Linked DNA regions of Alligator mississippiensis. The protein of the gene in region 2 interacts with the protein of the main gene of each other region in a pairwise test. Links are inferred from orthologs where the notes say so. Each region holds a gene or a part of one and is shown on either strand. Other genes may lie near its edges.

Region 1 (10,223 bases), on a different chromosome or scaffold from region 2:
AAATTGTGGGGTGAAGTACATACTCTGGAGGGTAGGGAACGATTGCAGGCAGACCTGGACGGACTGGAAGAGTGGGCAGTACACAATAGGATGCAGTTTAACAAAGACAAGTGCAGTGTGCTGCACCTAGGGTGCAAAAATATCCAGCACATCTACTGGCTGGGAAGTGACCCTCTCAGCAATACAGAAGCAGAAAGGGATCTCAGAGTCATATAGGACTCCAAGATGAACATGAGTTGTCAGTGTGATGAAATCAGCAAAGCTAACCGCAGTTTATCATGCATCAGCAGATGCATGATGAACAGAGTTGATACTTCCCCCTCTATGCAGCATTGATCAGACCGCAGCTGGAGTAGGGCATCCAGTTTTGGGCACCGTACTTCAAGGATGTTGATAGACTTGAGAGGGTCTGGAGAAGGGCCACTCGTATGGTTAGGGGCTTACAGTACAAGCCCTATGAGGAAAAACTGAGGGACTTGGACCTCTTCAGCCTCTGTAAGAGAAGGCTGAGAGGTGATCTTGTGGCCACCTACAAATTCATTAGGGGGATGCAGCAAGGGATCAGAGATGCTCTGTTCACCAGGGCGCCTCTTGGGGTGATGAGGAACAATGGCCACAAACTGACAGAGAGCAGATTTAGGCTGGACATCGGAAAAACTTCTTCACGGTAAGGGTGGCCAAAATTTGGAATGGGCTTTCAAGAGGGATGGTGCTCTCCCCTACCTTGGGGTGTCTTCAAGAGAAGGCTGGATAGGCATCTGGCTGGGGTCATCTGACCCTAGCACTCTTTCCTGCCTAGGCAGCGGGACAGACTCGATGATCTGTTGAGATTCCTTCCGATTCTAGCATCTATGAATCTAGTCAGCAAATGAAGAACTTTGTGGTACAGTTTGCAGATGACACAAAGGTTGGTGGGGAGGGGGAGCCGAGAGGAAGCAGCTAGTTTATTAAGCGACAATTCACTTTAACATTAAATTTCAGAATCCTAAGCCAAAAAAAAAATAAAAAAAAAATGCAGCTTTAGGTTTCCTTAGGTAAGTCAGGCAATAGACCAATCAAATAAAATCATTTGCCTGCAGGTAAATATTATCAAATATTGCATGATGCCAAGAATGCCACCCCCCCCCTTTTTTTTGTTTTGAAACATCACAGTGTCACCTATTAGCAAGGGCAGGAGTGAGGTCTCCATGCCCTCCTGCCCTGCCAAAATTAGGATTCACGCATATGAATACACCATTTCAGCGAAGTGCTCCATGCCCTGCCCTGACTCGAATTTGTCCAGTCTTCTCCTCCTTCCTGTGTTAAGTAACATACAGCCACTGGAGCTATTCTGTGCTGAGGGAGGAACCAACAGTATAGAATTGCTATGTGGTTTTTATTTCTGTTTAATTCTTTTTCCCCCTAATTTGTAAAGGTTTGGACTGATTCTGGGGTTGGGAATAAAAGCCAGGGAGAAGAAAAAGAAGTGTTCAGTCTCAAATGTATGCTTATCTAACAACGTTAGCTGTTGTCATTCATCACCGGTTTTTAGGATTTAAATTTCATTATTCCAGAAAATTAGTTCACCAACTTGGTTTTTTGGAATTAGCACAAATTTCTAACCTATTGAAGACTAAAGCATCTCTACTTTTCCAAGAAATAAATGCTTAAAATACTTGTCCATTATTTGACATTTTGCTGGTCAACTGACCAAGTATTTTCTGACTGGACAACTACTCAACCCTAATATTCTCAGACATTTGCAACAGCCACAGCAATCGCCTCTATCAGGGGTTGTTGACCTACAGCCTGTAGCCAGATCCAAGGTGACACAGCACAGGGGACTGGAGGCACAGAGCTATGTCATACCACACATGTCTGCTGCAGTCTTCCCTGCCACTCTCTTGCACCTGTCCTTACCCTTGCTGTAGACTGTGCCTTTCTCCATTGCTTCTGGAGGCAGAGAAACAGGTGGGCTTAGGTGCTCCAGGGAGCAGAGATCTGTGGCCTGTGGCTCTGGCCAGACAGAAAGCAGCAGTCTGCAGAGGCAGGTCGATCCGTGATCTATATTTTCTGGTTGCAGAAAACTAATTGCTGGCAGGATGCCTGGCAAACAACAAGGTATCCAGAACCCTCTCCAAGGGTCAGCAAACTCAGTCAATGAAAGAGTTATGTGTGGCTGCTTTTCCTCCTTACCTTCTCTTCCACAATCACCCAACTCTGGAAATAAGACTTGGGGTCTAGCATTTGGCCTGTGACCACTGCTAGAAACCTTACATGGATGGGGGAAAATAAAAATCCCATTTTTTTCATTAGCAAAGAAGAGGCTTTTTGCAATCTTCCTCTCCCAGCTATGGTAGACAAACTTAACTGACATGTCCCTTTTGCTGCTGCTGCAACTTATCACCAGGGAATTATAATCAGCATTAAAATATTTGACTGATGCACACTGGAAGGGCACCGCTGGATATAAAGGATCTTTTCCATGCACTCCTACATGAGCAAAGACACCAACTATGCAGGAAGGGCGAGGTCTGTATTAGAGCTGCAAGCAGATACCTGGTTAACTCACTGACCTCATAGGCTGCACCCAGGTCCTGGAACTTCTCTTGTGCGCGTGGATCGTCGGGGTTGCGATCTGGATGAAGCTGCAGGGCTAGTTTCCGATAAGCTTTTTTAATATCTTTTATTGATGCGCTGCGTGACACCCCCAGAATCTTATAGAAATCCCTCCTGAGAAACACAGGGCAAAGAAAGCATTCAGCTGCAGCTCCAACTTGGGTGCAAGCCTGGTGTGCTACTCAAAAAGCAACAAAGCATCCCGCCCCCCCCAAACAGTCAGTGCTGTTATTTTCACTTTACAAAAGGGGGAACTGAGATGCAAACAGACTCAGCAGATGGCTCAGGGACACACAGGGGAATTCTAGGGCAGAACTGAGATCAAGACCCTGGTGTCCTATGCCCCATTTCAGTGCTCTGCTAGGGATATCCTGGGGCCCCCTGTAGAGAGAAGTGATGGGGACTGACTCATGGTCAAACTGGACATCCCTGATACAGCCAGGATCAGAAGTTTGCTGAGTCCCAACCCAGGGCCTTAACAAGCACCATCCTTGCCTCCCATCAACCAGCATCCAGGAGGCTGCAGCCTGGATACTGTCCCCCCTTCAGCACCCACGCTTCTCCCTTCTTTATCCCCACATACTTCACCAGGCAAGGCTGGCAGCAGGGAAAGCAACTCATGTCACACTGCACCACCCTCTTGATACTCCAAAGCACATGAACCTGAGGCATTGATGGGTGTCAGAGGTACCCAGCCCTGGGGACTGACAGACCATGAGCAGAACGGGGAAGGAGATGCCTGGATGCAGGCACTGAATATGTAGGCCAGGCGTGGCCAAGCTGCCCTATAGGGTGCCACAAATGGCACGGGCAGCACCTGTGTGTAGGACAGCAGATGGGGCAGATAGGGGAAGTGACCGGGGGCAGACAGGGCAAGGGACAGAGGAGCCAATCCAGCAGGGAATGCAGGGCAGGGAGCAGAGAGCAGAGCAACAAATGGGACAGGAAGCACAGGGCAGAGAGCAGAGCAACTGATTGGGAGGGGAGCACAGGGAAGGCAGCAAAGTAGCTGAACAGGCAGAGAAGCAGATCACTGAGCAACTGACCAGGCAAAGGTAGGGGGACAGCACAAAGCAAGGGATGGGCAAAAACAGGGCAAGCAGAAGAGCACAGAGCAATGGATCGGGCAAGGAGCACAGGGCAGGGAGCAGAGCTCAGAGCAATCGATCGGGCAAGGCAGGCTACATGGCACAATAGAGCAGTGGGGGCGGGGAGCAGAACGAAGAGCAAGTGATGGGGCACGGGGCAGAGAGCAGAGCAACCGATTAGGCAGGAGCACGGGGGGGGGGGGGGAGGGCAGAGCGCGGGCGGGCGGGCAAGCGGGGGCTGCGGCTGCTTGTACTCACCCAGCGGTGGCCTCCCCGAGCAGGCAGAGCAGCAGCAGACAGAGGCGGCCGAGCGCGCGGCGGGACATAGCGGGGCCGGACCGCGGCGCAGGCCTCACTCGCCGGTAACCATGGACATGAAGCGGAGCCCGGCGAGCGGCGCGGACCAATGGGCGCCCAGCGCGGCGCAGATCGGCGGCCAATCCAAACTGCACACTTCACCACCCGGCCGGGCTGGCCGGCCAATCCCCGCCCTCGTCGTCAGCGCTCAGCGTCTGCGTCGCCGCAGCCCGCGAGCCAATCGCAGCGCAGCCAGGGGCTCCGCGTTACAGACCCGCAGGAAGCGTTCTCCTGGCAGGCCCAACCAATTCCAGCGCGGGAGCGCAAGCCCGCCCCCGCCACCGCAAGGCACCAATCGGCGCCTCGCAAGTGATGCAAGCCGAAGTCCTCCAATGGAGAGAGGGCAGTCTGATGCTTTTCGCTGGCAGGGACTGCCTGTTCGCGTGCGCAGACTGGTTGGGGTGCGGCTGTGTGACACTGCTGGGTGCCGGTGTGTAATAGTGGATGCATCAATCACTCGTGCACCGTAATTAGAGCGCTTTGAGTTTAGGAAAAGCGACAAGTACAGACTTAATGCGCTGCAATCGACGCTACTGGCAGCCGACTTAATTCTACTGCAGTCACGTGGCTTTCACTCTGACACAACACTGCACAGTAGCTCTCGCTTGTAGGTGACGCTAGTGGGCAGCAGGCCAATTCTACTGCGCACTACCACAGCTCTCACCGTGAAGCACTAATTAGTCTACTGCGCTTCTAGCATCTCGTGTATACAAGGGCAGTGGACGGTGGTGACTAGAATTTGTGCCTGTGAGAGTCTAACCATGGTTTACAGAAATCAGATTTGCTTCTTATTGACCCAAACCCAGTTTTTAAGAACGAGATGCGCTCCGCGGGCAGCGGACCAATTTGCTCCAGTAGCCAAGAGATCCTGTTTATTACGCTCCAAGGACGTGCAATCGCCACACCCAGGTCACACCCGTGCTACAGGCACAGCCGGCTGCAGGGAGACAAAACTCCTCCGGGTCGGGGCAGGACCCAGAGCCCGCTGGCTTGTGATCCCCGGCGGGGGTGTCACGCACTTTGACTGCGCTGGTGAAGCAAGCGGGGCAGGCAGCCCTTGCTCCAAGCAGCTCGCCAACACAGGAGGTCAGGAACGGGAACCAACTTCGCCCAGGGATGTGCGTGTTGAGCCTAGCCGCTTGCGGCTGAACCAGAGTTGCGGGGGTGCATAGGACCCTGCCCCATACATCCCTATGGAGTGAGTCTTGGCACAGGCGGATAGCGCAACCTACGGCTCCCCGTGCCGGGCCCGGATCTGACTCCACGGGCAGGGCTACGAGGCCCCGCCCGCCTCTGCCCCTGCTTAACCCAACTGGCCAGGACTACCAGCAGCGCGGCACCCCCACGTGCGCTCGGAAAAGGAAGTGCTGGTTTGTCTAGCCACCAACTTGCTGCTCCGGCGGAGCGCGCATGCGCGGCGGATAGCGCGCCCGTTCGAACAAGAGCGGGAGCCTCGTAGCGGGGCGCGCAGGCGCAGAAGGCCGCGGCGGGTGGCTGAAGGGGGCACGGCCGCCATGTCAGAGCCGGCCCCCGATCCGGCCCGGCTGTGGGTGCGCGCGGAGCCGCTGCTGCTGGGAGCGCTGCCGGCGCCGCCGCCCCCCAAACTGGGTCCGCACTATCTGCGCAAGATGGCGGCGTACGTGCGGGCGCGGGCGGGCGCGGGGGGCTGGCCGCGCCTGGGCTGGCCGCTGTGGCGCCGCATCGCCTGCGGGAAGCTGCAGCTGCCGCGGGATCTGGCGTGGCTCTACTTCGAGCGCTTCGACGCGCTGGCCCCGCGCAGCGCCGCCCAGCGCCTGGAGCGGGCCGAGGCCGCCGCCGCCTGCGCCTCGGACCACGAGCTGGAACAGCTAAGGAACCAGGCACGGCGGGGCTGGGCTCGGCTGGGGGCGGGGCTAGCCGGGAGGGGCGGGGCTTAGCGCCCAGAGGTGCCAGGGCGGGGCTTAGCCATGGGGGGCAGGGCTAAGGGTAGGGGACTGACCCCGGTACCCCTGGCAGCTGTCCGAGGAGCCTGGTGGGACCTGGCCTTGGTGGTGGGGTCAGTGGAGACACCCCCCCCCCTGCAGTCTCGCCCCCTGCCCTTGGTGGCTACTCAGCTGCAGCGCCCAGGAGCAGGGCCTGGGCTGCTGTCCTGCACCTGGCACTAGTGCAGCAGTGCTCACCCATTGTAGCGTTGAGGCCCCCTCAGGGAAACAGCAGCGCTGAGCTCGTTGATGATGGAAAGACAACAGAGCTGTTCTTTCCTTGAAAAGGACTTGGCAAGACCCTGGTAGCTTGGCACAGTTCAAAGGCAACAGATCCCATTTTGTGACCTCCAGCCTTATTTTGTGCCTGCGCACCTGACAGTGCTAAAATATTGTGTGGTGCCCTTAAAAGCATCTCTCAGCACCCCAGGGTGCGCTGCTCTGTACCCCCCACCCTTGGTTGAGAATTTGATGTTTTCTGTGTGTCTGGGGCAAACCCCAGTGACCAGATTTTCCCTTCGGAGTCACACTGTCATGTCTGTGATGCCAGTGTCCAACAATCTGTTTAACTGCGCTACAGATGGTATAAACTGAGGCCCCTTCCTGTATTAGAGCCATTTTAAACACTTCATATAGAAAGTACTAAAATAAAAAGCTATGGCATAAGCCTTCAAAAGCAGCGCACTGTACAGCTTGGAAACATATTCACAAAGGAGACTTCTATAAAAGTCTTCCGCAAACTACTTAAACGGGCCTCGCGTCCCCATATACGATACAAGTGAGATGAAATTTTTTTCTTTACTTTTTATTTTACAAGGAATCTTGACCGATCTAATGTGGTTTTGCTGACTGCCTTCTGAAGGCTGAGGGGGAACAAATCTATCCCCTTTAAAGGGAGGAGAGTTCAGAAAAAAACATTATTTAATGTGTTAATTAGTTAACGAAATTAGTGTCTATATTAACATAAGGGGGTCAAACTGGTTAAAAATCAGAGAGGCAGGGCATATTGAAGTCTTCTTTTGCTAGTTGTCACTTAGCTTGCTGGGAACTGAATCTTTGGCAAGGGGGATATCAGGACTCTCCAATACACATCAGAAAACTTTGGACCTTCACACATTTTAAGTCACTCCTTGTTCATACATATGCCAAAGAGGGCACAAAGCCCATTTCCCTGCTGTGTATGACGTAAAAAGAACACCTGCCTCATTTTGATAGTTTAAAAGTTTCAGCCCTTACTGGTTGCAGTCCTGGCACAGGAGGCTAAAGACATGTGTGTGCTCAAAAACTTATTCTTGTGGGAGAAACCCACCCTGTATTGGGGGGGAAAAAAAACTCCAGTAGTGAACAGAAGTTGCAGTATTGTTCCTACTTACTCATGTGGGGGTATAAATATTTGTGAAATATTGCAATATAAATTACATTATAAAACATTACAGGAATATGAGAGAGATTCTCATGATGTCCTAAAATCAAATGAGCTTAAGTGGCCAAATTCCTGACAGTTCTTTCCCTACCCCAAGAACAGTTGTCAATCATTTACATTATCTTTCTGGGTTTAGTGTTCATTCATAAAGTGAATCAGCTGTTGTGATCAGTCAGCCATCAGTAGTGTTTTCTGTGATTGAGATTGCAGAAAATATGCAAAACTAGGGTTAACTGAAACTTGCAAAGTGCAGAATTAAGAGGCAGGATTTGAATGCAGTTCAGATACTTGAGCTAGGGGGTGAAAAGACGTATCCCACTGAAAAAAAATGCTTTAAAGACAGAAATAACTGCTGTTTCAGCTTTTGATTTTTCAGAACAGCCAGTTTTCATTGAGAGCTTGCTGTTTTCAAAATGGAGCTCTGAACTAATGGGAAGAAGCTTTTAGCATGAATGTCCTCCCAGGGTTAAGAATGGCATTTACAGAGGCAAACCCTGTAAATATAGCTGCTGAGAGATGTTGATTTTCTGCATGTTGCTATATGACTGCCATTAAGATCTGTAAGGGGAGTACAATAAAGAGGGCTTGAAAAGTCAAGCAAACATCTTCCAAGCCCGAAATCTATTTAAGCTCAGTGATTTATTCTGCAACTCTAGTGCCTTCATCAGAACTGTTTAATAGCTGACTAGTGCCAAACACTAGATAGCACATGAAATCGAAATCAGTTAATGCTGTAGATACCAGGTTGTTGTCGGGGCCGAGGGGCTGTGGCCAGCAGCCTGAGCATGTGGGCCGGGGAAAGGGTTGGCACGGCGAACTAGAATTAGGGACGGACGCATAGAGGTTGATTAAGGATTATTTTACTTACACCGTAGGTGGTCGCGGTGCAGGCAGGAAAACTTTCTTGAGTTGCAGTTACAAAAAAAACACACATGTGGAGTTTGCTAGGCTCCGCTGAAGACACACGAGCGGAGTTTGCTAGGCTTCGCTAAACAAACATGAACAGAGCTCTGGATACGACTCATGGAGTTTGCTAGGCTCCGTGGACCGTCCGAAATGAGAGTTCGAAAGGTGACTCTCCACGAGCGCGCAGGGTAGGGTACGTCGAGGGATCGTGCGGCAACGGGGAGAGGCTAGAGGTTGATCAGGTCCCTGTATCCTCCTTTAAGGCACACGCGGAGTTTGTTAGGCTCCGCAGCACGCTTAGAGTTCTTCACGAGATGGATGTGAAGTCCTCCTCCTCCAACTTGAGCGGAAACTGCTCAAGCCTCTTATACGGCTAGCAAGCCAACGGCTAGCTGCCACGTGGGAATAATTTAGAAACAGCCAATAGTGGGAAACAAATTTACATACGGGTGGCGGGAACTCCTTTGCACTGGGATTTTCACTATGCAACTGAGAATTGCACCATGCAAAGAAAGCTCCATGTGGCGGGAAATAATTCTGCAGTGCCGAAGCGCACACAAAATCATACCCTTTGGGACATGACAGTTGTCTCGATTTTAAAAGACTAATTAAATGATTGTAGCCATTGGTAATGTTCTGGTTAATATTAATACTGTGTTTCCTTCTTGATCAGTTTTCGGTAGATACTCTACAGTTCCTGCTGTTCTTGTACGTTCAGCAACTAAACAAGGTTTCTCTGAGGACATCTTTGATTGGTGAAGAGTGGCCAAGTCCTAGGACCAGATCCCAGTCTTCCAGTTTGATTGGAAAATCCACCTGTCAAAACAAGGTATTGTGCTTAACCCAGTCCCCATAAAAGTTAGTATGTGGGTGAGGCTACAAAACCTCCACTACAAGCTAGCCCTGGGGGGGGAGAAAGAGAGTTTGTGGAAGACTGAACTTCTGCTTATGCTTTTCTTATTAACTCATATATCCTGCTAGAGCTGCACCTCATTAATAGAGCTAATAAATAGTATATAATCTTGTCTTGGGATGTTCACTGTGATTCACATTTTAGAAATTTAAAATGTTATCAATGGAAATTTGTTGCAGGCTGAACTTTTACATAGTCTCAACCTATGATGAGTCTTCTAAAACCTTATGCCCAGAATCTCAGCAAAGCTGAAAATGTTCATGTATTGCAGAAGCTGCTCTTCCACAAATATATGTTCAGATTCCTAGGGGGCCTTCTTTAGAGTGATGTCTAATTATACCCAGTTGTAAATCAGAGACCTAGACTGGCGAGTCAGATATGACTGTCTGTGTGTGGTGGATAAGTCCTATATCAAGTACTTCTAAACATAGGAAACTCGCTGGATATATCAAACCAGCTGCAATTCACAGGATGCTGTATTAGAAATTGAATTATGAAGTGGTGTCAATTCAGTAAAGATGCTTCAGTGACCCACACCTTGAACTAAGGCCAACTGCAAACTTCAGCAGAATTCTGTATGGGTTGTGATAATAGCACCATGCATACTGTAGCATCATGTGGAACTAGAGCTTATTATCTGCAGCTCGGGAACTCTTGAAACTCTAAACACAGTAGATTGGTAATGTTAGACAGACAGTTATAGAATCATAGAAAATTAGGGTTGGAAGGGAGCTCAGGAGGTCACATCTAGTTCAGCCCCCTGCTCAAAGCAGAACCATCCCCAACTAGCTCGTCCCAGGCGAGACTTCGTCTAGCCGGGACTTAAAAACCTCCAAGGATGGAGATTCTACAACCTCTCTGGGTAACCTGTTCCAGTGTTTTACTACCCTCCTAGTGAGAAATTTTTTTCTTAATATCTAACCTCAACTTTGCTTGCCGCACCTTGAGCCCATTGCTCCTTGTTCTGCCATCTGCCG
Region 2 (10,419 bases):
GACAGACACAGTCAGTTTCAGAGGCCAGTGGCATCAAAACCCCTAATATTAGCAGCCCCTAGTCAGTTTCAGGTCTGCTATTAAAAGGCTCTGGACTGACAGACCTAGTCAGTTTCAGAGGCTGGCAGCTGATATTGACAGACTCAAATCAATTTCCTAACAACCAATCTGGTCAGTTTCACAGCCTGCTGTTAAAAGCTCCCTTAAAGGCAGGGTCCAGTCAGTTTCAAGATGGTATTTGGACTTTTGATACTAACAAATCTGTTCTGTTTCAGAGGCAGTAGCATTAAAGCCCTCATATTAGCAGCCCCTGGTCAGTTTCAAATCTGCCATTAAATGTCTTGATACTGATAGACCTGGTCAGTTTCAGGGGCTGGATTAAAAGCCCCCATCTTGGCAGGGTCTAGTCAGTTTCCAGAGAGCTCTTTAAGAGCCCTGAAAATGACAGAAATAGTCAGTTTCTGGGGCTGGTAGCTCAGAAGCCCAGATATTGACAGGCCTGTGTCAGATGCACACTGACAGGCCTAGTCAGTTTCAGGCGCTGCTGTTAAAAGCCCTTTCACTGGCTTCAAGAGGGGTAAGAGCCCTGATACTGACCAATCTGGTCAGTTTCAGAGGCTGCCAGCCCCTACTCAGTTGCAGATGTGCTATTAAATGCCTTGGTACTGACAGACCTTGTTAGTTTCAGAGGCTGGATTACTGTCAGTGTCAAATCTACTATTAAATGCCTGGATAGAACAGACCTCATCAGTTTCAGGGGCTGAATTAAAAGCCCTGATATGAGCGAGTCTAGTCAGTTTTGAAACCCAGATACTGACCCATTTCATCAGTTTCAGAGGGGCTGGTATTAAAAACCATGGGCTTGGCTAATTTCAAGGGCTGGCAACATCAGAAGCCCTGATATGGGCAAGGTCCGGTCAGTTCCACACTGACAGATCTAATCACTTTCAGAAGCTGAATTAAAAAGCCCTGATATGTATGGACAGCCCTTAGCCAGCTCCAGCTCTCCTATAAAAAGCCTTGATGCTGACAGGGTCTGTCAATTTCAGAGGGCTGGTGTTAAAAGCCCAATTAGTGAGATCAAGTCAGTTCCACTCTGACCAATCCAGTCTTTCCAAGGTGAATATTAAAAGCATGATATTGGCAGGGTCTAATCAATTCCATGACTGCTAACTGGAGCCCTGATATTGACAGATCCTGTCAGTTTCAGGGACTGGTCCCTCAAAAGCCCTGATATCCACTGGGCCTAGTCAGTTTCAGATCCCTATTAGGACCCTTCTACTGACTGATCTAGTCAGTTGCACAGGCTGTATTAAAAGCCACCGTCCTGGCAGAGTCTAGTGAGTTTCAGGACAGGTAGGTGCAGCTTGGATAGGGACAGATCTAGTCAGTTTCAGGGGACACATCAAAAGCCCTGATATTGGCAAAATCTAGTCAGTTTCAGGACTGGTGTGTGGCTTGCATACTGACAGATCAAGTCAGTTTCAAAGGCAGCATTAAAAGCCTTGCTATCAAGAGGGCCTAGTCCAGTGGTTCCCAAACTGTGGGTTCTGACCCCAAGTAGGGTCACAAAATCAGCAGATGGGGTCATGGGGGTGGGGACCTGTGGGTTTGGGGCAGGGGCGGCATGTTGAGGAAATGGGGCCATAAATGGAGTCATACCAAGGAAAAGTTTGGGAAGCACTAGTCAGTTTCAGGGCTTGAAACTGACAGATATAAAGCCAAGGCAGCAAATGCTGAAATGTTTTCCTGCTCAAACCCAAACTAGGAAGTTTTGCTTTCGAAAGCCTATCAAACTCCACCCTGCAGTCGGTGCAATAAGAGAGATCACCCTAGGGAAATCCTTGCTTCATGTATTAACTCGTTATCACTTATAGGATCATAAGGAAGACAGACCTCTCATGGTCTCTTACGAGGCCCCCTAAGAAATCCTTCCCTTCTGTATAATTCCCCCTCCTTTCTTAAGGGGGACTTAAAGTTTCCTTGGTAGGCACTGGCCCACAATCCTCTTGGCAAAGCAAAAAGGCCTGTTTAATTCCCCTACCCCGCCTTGGAGCACTTGTTGTCAACCTCCAACCCCTACTTCTGTCCCTCTTTCTGCATTAGTTGTGCCAAGGAATCAATTATTGTGCCCCTATTGCAGTAAACTTCGAGAAAAGCCTGTCTTTGAGTTACAGTTTTGTTCATGCCCCCACCCCAACCCAGGGAAGCAGCACAACCAGGCACAGGGTGCCCCTCAGCCTAACAGCCACTGGGTTCGGGGGGGCCAGACTCCACCTGCTGCAGCTCCAGTGCCTCCTGCCTTGGCCCCACTGAAGTTCTACCTTGCACACCTGCCATGCCAGGCTCCCAGAGTCGCAGCAGCCTGCTGGCAGAGCCTGTCTGGGGCGTCCTGCCCCTGCATCCCTGTGAGGCTGCAGCAGCGCCGGCTCATTGCAAACGTCTTGCCTGCCCCTCTCTCCCCCAACATTCCTTCACGCCCCCCAGTTTGAAAACCATTGCCCTATCAACTGCCCTAATTAAGGGAAGCGTGTGGTTCCCTTGGTGGGCCCAGGCCACAACTCCACGCACATAACAGACATGCCTGTAGGAGGAACCCTGATGACTGTGGGGCCGTCTTCCTGGTCCTCACTAGGACACATCTCCAGGCAGAGCATCACCGGGTGACCCCCACTGGCTTCTTGGGCTTCTTCAAGGGCTAGTGCCCCCTTGGAGCCCTCAAAATTAGCCTACAGCCTAATTTTATAGGCTGTAGGCCTCCACCCTCCCCCCCAACTCCCACCCTGGTTTTTTCTCGTTGATTCTCCCACCAATTTTGTTCTGAAGCACCTAGTAGGTCGAAGTGGAGACAGGGCTAGCAGTTTCTGCATGGGCCTACAGTCCCTCGTGTACAGCAAGGAGCCCAGGCCCACAGTCTTCCTACGCATAACAAAGAGGGTTTGGATAATTCAGAGAATCACAGAAATCCTAGGGATGCAGAACGGGAAGGAGTCTCCAGGGGGCATAATCATGAGAAGTGGGGCAGGAAGGGACCTCCAGTTGTCACCTCTAGTCCAACCCCCAGCCTGAGGCAGGGTCAGCCCTGGCGCGACCAGCTCAGACAAATCCATCAGGTAAACTCAGGTAAACGTAAGACGACCACCAACCCTGACAGCACAGACCACACCCGAACCTGCCACAGGGAAAGCAGGGGGACTGCAGCAACGTCCTCTGTCTGCAACAGGTTGTTAACAATCACTCAAGAGATCCCAGGCACGGGCCGCACCCCCCACTACAGAGGCTGACACCCCCCCCCCCCACGCCCAGTCCCCACCAGCCCGATCGGGGGGAATATTCCTTCCTGACACAGCGTCGGCTCGACCCCGAACAAAGGGGAAGACCCTCTAGCCAGGACCCCGGGGCTGAGCCCCAGCAGGAGCGCTGGCACAGCCCAGCAGGCTGCCAACACATTAAAGACACTGGGCATGATGCCTAAATACACACTTCTCCTTATATTATCATTATAGCGACTGACCTTGAACCTCCCACCGACCCTCCTGGTTCCCCCCTGGGAAGGGGGAGGGACGGGTCAGCACCCCCCCGACCCGAATTACCCCATTCCTCACCAGGCTTGCAGGGGGGGCGGGGGCAGAAGGCCGGCTATACCTGCCCACAGAGGGATCAGGGAGGGTATAACCCCGCCTCCGCGGGGCGGGGGGGGGGGGACCGAGACCCCCATCACCCCTCCCCCACACGCGCAGGTACCCACCGAGAGCTCCTAGGGCTGGGAGGGGGGGAAAGGAAGGGGAGAGGCCCAACAGACACCTGGCCACGCCCCCTTTCCTGCCCAGGACGTCACTTCCGGTAGGCGCAGAACCACTTCCCGTCCATAAAAAAATCGGGCAACTTTACGGAAAGAAAAGGCGGTTCCGTGCTGGGGGCTCCGGCCAGAGAGAAGGTAGCACTTCCGGTCCCACCCACTCAAAAAGAGGGGGCGCGTGAGGAATGAGATGGGGCTTCCGGTCAAAAGGGGGCGACTTTCGGTCAAAAAGGATGACTTCCGGTTTCTTATCTCAAATTGGGTGACTTCCGGTGTCCCTGGTAATGAAACGGGGTTCACTTCCGGTCCCCACGGGCCGCTTCCGGGTCCCCACCAAGCCCAAGTCCGAACCTGCTTGCGAGAGACTCCCCGCACCGGCTGCTCTGCGGCGCACACCGCTCTGCGCATGCGTGACGTGGGGACGGGGGCCTCAAGACTCGGGGCCAAATGGGGCTGCTAGCGGCGCGCCTGATGCGCCCCGTCACCGCTGCGACGGGCCCCCCCCCATCCCCCGCCCTCTGAGGGGCATGTCGGTGTGCGGCCGCGTGTGAGAAGAGTCCGCGGGGCGGCCGCGTCTCACGCCGGTTTGGATCAGGCAGTGCTGTAGGCGCCCACACGCTGAAGTTCTCATGGGGCAGAGCTTGAGCCCCCGGCTCCCGTCGCGCATGCGCAGGGCTCGGTGCCCCCTTCCCGCCAGATGTCAGTGGCTACCCGCGCGGGGGCGGGGTGATGAGGGCTGTGCCCCCAGGGAGGTGGGGCATGAATTTGCCCCGTGCTGCTCTTGGCCCTGGACTGTCAGCAGATGTACGTGAGATACGTTAGACAGACTGATCTAGAGAAAAGATCACACCCCGAACCAAAGGGGCTGAAATCCTGACCAGAGGTTCGGGATCTGTAAGGCCCTGGGTCCCGGCGTAAAACCCACAGGCACAGATCGCCTCAAAGGGCTGCGTGTCCTGTTGGTCTTGGGCTTTCACCAGGCCTGGGTTTGTCCCAGGATCTAAGAATGGAAGAAGTGTTTCGTGCAGAGACTTTCAAGCCGGCGTCGGCCAAGGGAGATGATGGGGAGCATCCCAGGAGACACCCCCATCACCCATGGGACCTCCCGCACACAGGAGTCGGGCCTGCCGGCCGGTGCCTCATTCACTTCCAGGGTGGAGAAAGTGGCGACTGCTTAACTGGCACCCTGAGAGCCAGAGCACGTACTCCCGACCTACGGAAAGATGAACCGTAGGAAGGAAATGCAGGGCTGAGGTAAGGTCCCACACGTGAACCCTGCCTCTGGGAGAGCTGCCCCACCGTGGGGAGCTGTGCCCACAGTCAGTCATCACCGGATCCATAAATTAGTCCAAACACATGGAGCAAGTCACCTCTGCCTGGAACCTCCCTGCCAGCTTCCCTACAGCCATGGCTCCAGCTCCACTGCTCCTGGGGAACAGCAGCTACAAATAAGTTTATCTTTTCCTGACTGCAGGGGCAGGGCAGGGCAGGGCAGAGCTGCCAGTGTATGAGACAGGGGCCCAAGCAGAGCGAGCCAGGGCAGGGGAATAGTTAACACCAGCCCTCCCTGCATGCACAGTCTCTGCAGGGTCTGGGGCTGCACTGGTTCTCCACCTTTTTACACTCAAGGCATCTCTCATTAGACTCAAGGCGCCCCTCAGAAAAGGCCAGCTCTGGTTTAATTCCCTTTTTGAGTCTGGAAAAAGAATAGAGCAATTCTTCTGTTGCAAAGAACTCAGAAAGGCCGCAGCAGGCAAGACATCTCTAACATGTCTCTCCCCTACCTTGGGGGTCTTTAAGAGGAGGCTCGACATGCACCTGACTGCGGTCATCTAACTCCAGCGCTCTTTCCTGCCCAGGGCAGGGGGTTGGACTCAATGATGTACTGAAGTCCCTTCGGACCCTAACACCTATGAATCTGAACACTGGATTTCTAGCTGAAAACTCTGGGTTAATCTTGCAATTCGTATCTGCATACGTAAGAACATTAACACGGTGTGGCACCCCCAACACCTGCCATGGCACCTTGGTTGAGAGCCACTGTGTGTGTGTCAGCTCACATAGCAGCGAGTGGCTGAGCTGCAGGTCCTGCTCTCCAGTGAGCTGTTCTACCAGTGTCCCAGTACCCTGGCCTTCACCAGCCAGCTGGGAGTCATAGATGAATAGACAGTAAGGGCTGGAAGGGACCTCATAAGATCATCAAGTCCAGCCCCCCCCCTCCCCCCCCCCTCACCATAGGCAGGAAGTCAGCTGGGATCAAGTGATCCAAGCAAAAAAAATCCAGATTTTTTTTAAACATGTGCCAACTCAGCAGAGTGGGCAGGCGCTGGCCCTGCTCCTCCTGGTCATGGCTGTCCTATCCCATGGCCTCATCCCAGAGCAGTGTCTCCTTCCAAGCAGCCTTTGGAGGAGCCCAGCCCCTCGGCTGTGATACTGAGGAGTTTCTGCACCCACTCCCCTCCTGGGCCCTTCCCTATACAGTGGTAACTGCCCTTCCTTAGGGTCACGCTCTGTGGCCTCAGCATCCAGCAGAGCAATGGCCGGGCTCCAGGGGCCTCCTCATGCTTGTGCTTTTCAGGACCAGGCTGAAAGAAGCAGTTCCTTCGCTTGGAAGGTGGGTCCTCCATGCTCCCCCTCCCTTGACCCTGCTCATCTCCCTGTCCTTCCCCCCCTGGGAGAGTTGCTGTCCTCCCTCCCCCGTGAATGGCGCCCCTGGCTCCAGAGTGCCTTGTGCAGGGAGCTAGACCCGATGATCTTCCGAGGTCCCTTCCAGCCTTACAGTCTATGAATCTATTAAATGGGTTTGGAATCCCCGGCCAGGGAGAGGAATGAGCTTCACCTCTGGGCTTTCCCCTGTGCCAAGGCAAGACCCACTGTCCCCAGGACAGGTGCCAAGCAAAGGCCCCGCAAGCACACGCCAGGCCCTGAAGCTCTGCCAAGAGAACCCTCTGGGTCCCAGTTTCCTAGTAAGTGCTGTCCAAAGAAGCGGCTGTTCACATGTGGCTGAGCCTGGCCTCCTGCCAAGCCCCACATGAGCAAAACCCTTCCCACAACCCCAACCACTTCTGCTTGCTGCCACTCATCTGGATACAAGAAACCTCTGCCCAGCCCACCGTCCCTGCAGTCAGGGAGTGTCTAGGGCAGGGGGGACAATTCCTTGTGCTGGAGGGAGCTTGGGTGAGCTGGGCCAGCAGCACCCCCACCCCCCGATCTCCCCAACTCCCTAAGTGCCCCCAGCCCACATACCTGCCCCCACATAAGGGCAGAGGAGCTGCTGCTCCTGTGCCCCAGGTGCTCACACAGGAGCCACCTCTGCTGTGCCCAGGAGGACCTGCAGGCAGGGCCAGGACTGGGGCTAGCCCCGCTGCCCACCCTGCACCCCCCACACCTCACTGGGGCAGGCAGCTTGGCTGCAAGTGGAGCCTGTCCACACGGCCACCCCTGCATGCGGGTCTGGGCCATGGGGGTTTCCTGCCCTGAACGAGGCAGCAAGCGCGGCCCAACCCAGGGCTGCCTGCATGGGGTCTGTGTGTCGGGGCAGGTGCTCGTTTTGGGGAGCTGGAGTTGGGGCCTGACAGGGGAGAGGCAGGCCCTGCTCCCGGGGCTGAGGAGTGGATGGGGGCCGGGCTGTGGGGGAACAGGGGGCCCAGTTGCAGGCCACCTCCCTTGTGAGACTGGCCTCAGTCCCAGGGTGGCTACAAGAGCAGGGTCAGAGACAGATGCTTGTAACCCCACTCCTTCCTACGGCTGTTCTGGGAGAGGCACAACTGTGGCTCCTGCCTCCAGTCTGGAAAAGCAAAACCAAGGTCCCTGTGGTTGCTGCCCTCGGCCGAACCCCAGCTCACCCCAGCCCCTCGGCAAGGGGCGCCTTTTCTCTGCTCAGGTCTGGGAAGCCAAATGTTTCTCCATCCTTGGGGGTGTTGGTTGTAGCCATGTTGGTCCAAGGACATGGGTAGACAAGGTCTTGGGGGTAAATCCAATATCTTTTATTACACCAAATAAATAGTTGGTCTAATAAAAGGAGCCCTGTCTCTGATCCTCTGGCTGCAGTCTGCCAAGTGCTGCTGGCTCTGCAGCCAGGGCAGCCCTGGCAGAGCCAACTGCTCGCTCCACAGAGCCCCGGGCAGGGTCATGCATCTGGGCTGTGCTCACTTCTTTCGAGCCAGCCCAGACAACTGGAACCAAGCACAAGAGCCCACTGCTGAGTGCGGGTTACTGAGGGGGCTAGGGGCATTTCCCCACTGACTGCCCCCTCTCCGTGGGCTCAGCTGCCCCAGGGGCAAATCTCCATTCACTCCCAGGCAGTGCATCTGTTCCAGGGGTTTGCACTGGAGTCATGCACTGGGCCAAGAACACCCCATGCAGACAAGACCAGGGGCACTGCTGGGACAGTGGTCTTCTGCCCTCCAAGTATTGCACAGTGAAGAGCGGGAAACACCAGGTCTCCCTGCAGAGCCTGCCCCATTCACAAGAGCAGGGTTCACCCACCCCACATTGCTGACCTGGGGCATCAAAGCCCCTTAAGGATGGACCTATCGATCTTCCCAGACCCAGGCACAGGTCTCCCAAGGCAGGCCCAGGACACTTGCTGGGCTCTGGGAAGCGTGTGGGCACTGCATGGACAGAATAGACCAACCGTAGCAGAAGAAGCTGCTGCACAAGGCTCAGTGCCAGGGAGATCGACTGAGAATCCCAAAACACCCTGGGCCTGGGATCTCACATGGCTCAGAGACCAGCCCTGTCCAGGGCCCAGGGCGTACAGAGTGTGCTGGGCTGGGAGCAGTGAGGGGTGAATGCAGCAGGGATGCACTGAATCTTGCTGGTCACAAAGCCCACCTTCAGGTCACCAGGATGGTGGGAGCAGTGGCTGTAGCAAGCAAAGTTCTCCAAGGAGGGCTCTGGGGTCACTGATATGGGGTCAGGGTCACTCACCTGTGTGTCCTCGGGCTCTTCTGAACTCTGGAATCAAGCAGCAAAGAGAGAGGTGATAATTCACACAGCAGAGTCACTGCAGCATGACCCAGTGCAGACACTGGGACAAATCCTGCTGTCCTTACTTACCCAAACGCCTGAAACTGCCCAGGAGCTGGGGCAAGATAAGAGTCAGTGCTGCAGTGTTTGGTCTCTGATCCCTGCGGCAGCTGATGGAGAACTGAGCCATTCCCAACACAGGGAGTCCCAGAGTGGGGGTCCCCAGGGCAGCTCAATCCTCAGCAGCCTGGCCCAGAAGAGGGGGCCCTGGTCTGTCTGGGTGAGGAAATCCCAGTGTCACATCCAGCAGCACTGTGGGGTTTGGTGTCACTGTGCAACTGTTCCTCTTCCCTGCCCTGATGTTTGGGGTCTCGGTTCTCAGCCTCCCCTTCTCAGCAGCCCCCACTTGGCCCCTCCATGTGTCTGGGCATTTGAGTCTCCAGCTGCTGACATCTCACAGTGACAGGTACAGACCTGGCTGTTTAGCAACAGCTCTATATCCGCTCCAGGCCTCCTCCCCACAGAGCCTAGCTCTGCCCTGTCTCACCACTGACAAGGATGGGCAATGCTCTGACTGCCACACAGTAGTCGCCACTGGGGTCTTGATTTAACATTGGCACTGGTAAGGAGGAGTCCCAGAGCTCTTCCAGGTGCTGCCATTCCCCTAGAGAGCTGCTGAAGCTGGAAACTAATGCACAAACTGCCTGAGTCCCCGGGGCTCAGCTGGGCTCAATTAGACATCCTCCCTGGAGGCCTGGGGCACTGAGGATCTGGCCCTGAATCCATCTGTGGTAATGTCTCACATCTGACCAGCCAAGACTCTCCCGAAGGACTCACCCTTCTGCCACACTGGGGATGCACTTGTTGGGGCTCTCCTCCAACACAGCTTCCCCTGCAGGACCCTCTCCCCCTTCCCCTGCCTCTGCCCCAGTACAATGAGACAGCAGCCCTGGAAGTGCCCCATACCCAGGAATCTCATCAGAGCCTCCTGCGGCTTGCTCTCCCCAATTCTCCTGTCCTGCCCAGGGAACGTGGGGGCTGGATGCAGAGGCATCACCTCCTCAGCCCTGCAGAGAGGTAGAGAGACACAGAGCAATTATTCTTCTCAATCCTCAGCCCCAAGTTCCCACATCCACAAGGCCACAAGAGGAAATGGGTAGGAGCTCAGGCCACAGGGTAGGGCCTCTGACAGGCCAGTTGGGGGCTGCACAGCCTGCTGGCTCCCAGCCCTGTGGGGCAGGAAGGTGATGTTTGTACTCAGGTTTCAATCTGAGTTGCTCCAGCAGAGCTCAGGCAGCAAACCCTTCTTGTGCGGCCACAGCTCACACCAACAAAGCAGCGCTGTTTCCTGTATGGCTTGTACCAGTGGGACTGTGCAGGGGTTGGAGATGTTCACACCCCTAACAGGCCCTGGCTTTGGCCCATCCACAGAGAAAATGCAGGCCAGGGAGTGGCAGCCTGAGTGAGCCCCCTTAACGTGGCCTGACCACAGGCCTCTCTGAGGCATGGAGGGGCTGCTCCTGGACTAAGAGGGGCCCATTCTCCAGGCCCAGCTGCCCTCAGTCTCATTCCCAGTCTCCAAGGGGCCTGGTCACTGGTGAGGTCTCTGACCACTGACCCTATCCCACTGGGGCTTGGGGTAAAACATT

Evidence for each region. The genes of interacting proteins can lie anywhere in the genome.
Region 1: the proteins of BAG6 (region 2) and DNAJB11 interact in a two-hybrid assay, tested with the Homo sapiens proteins (2 studies listed by BioGRID and IntAct). The link is inferred for Alligator mississippiensis from reciprocal best matches to the Homo sapiens genes BAG6 and DNAJB11.

What each region holds. Positions count from the first base shown.
Region 1 is NC_081830.1:33,026,715-33,036,937, reverse strand, and holds the start of DNAJB11 (dnaJ homolog subfamily B member 11), read right to left. Parts: upstream 4,105-10,223; 5' UTR 4,013-4,104; coding exon 3,945-4,012; intron 2,713-3,944; coding exon 2,556-2,712; intron 1-2,555. Other genes in the region: TBCCD1 (TBCC domain-containing protein 1), read left to right, coding at 5,558-5,902, 9,007-9,162. UniProt on the Homo sapiens protein: As a co-chaperone for HSPA5 it is required for proper folding, trafficking or degradation of proteins.
Region 2 is NC_081834.1:58,567,737-58,578,155, forward strand, and holds the start of BAG6 (large proline-rich protein BAG6), read right to left. Parts: upstream 4,233-10,419; 5' UTR 4,151-4,232; intron 3,838-4,150; exon of another isoform or gene 3,749-3,837; intron 1-3,748. UniProt on the Homo sapiens protein: ATP-independent molecular chaperone preventing the aggregation of misfolded and hydrophobic patches-containing proteins.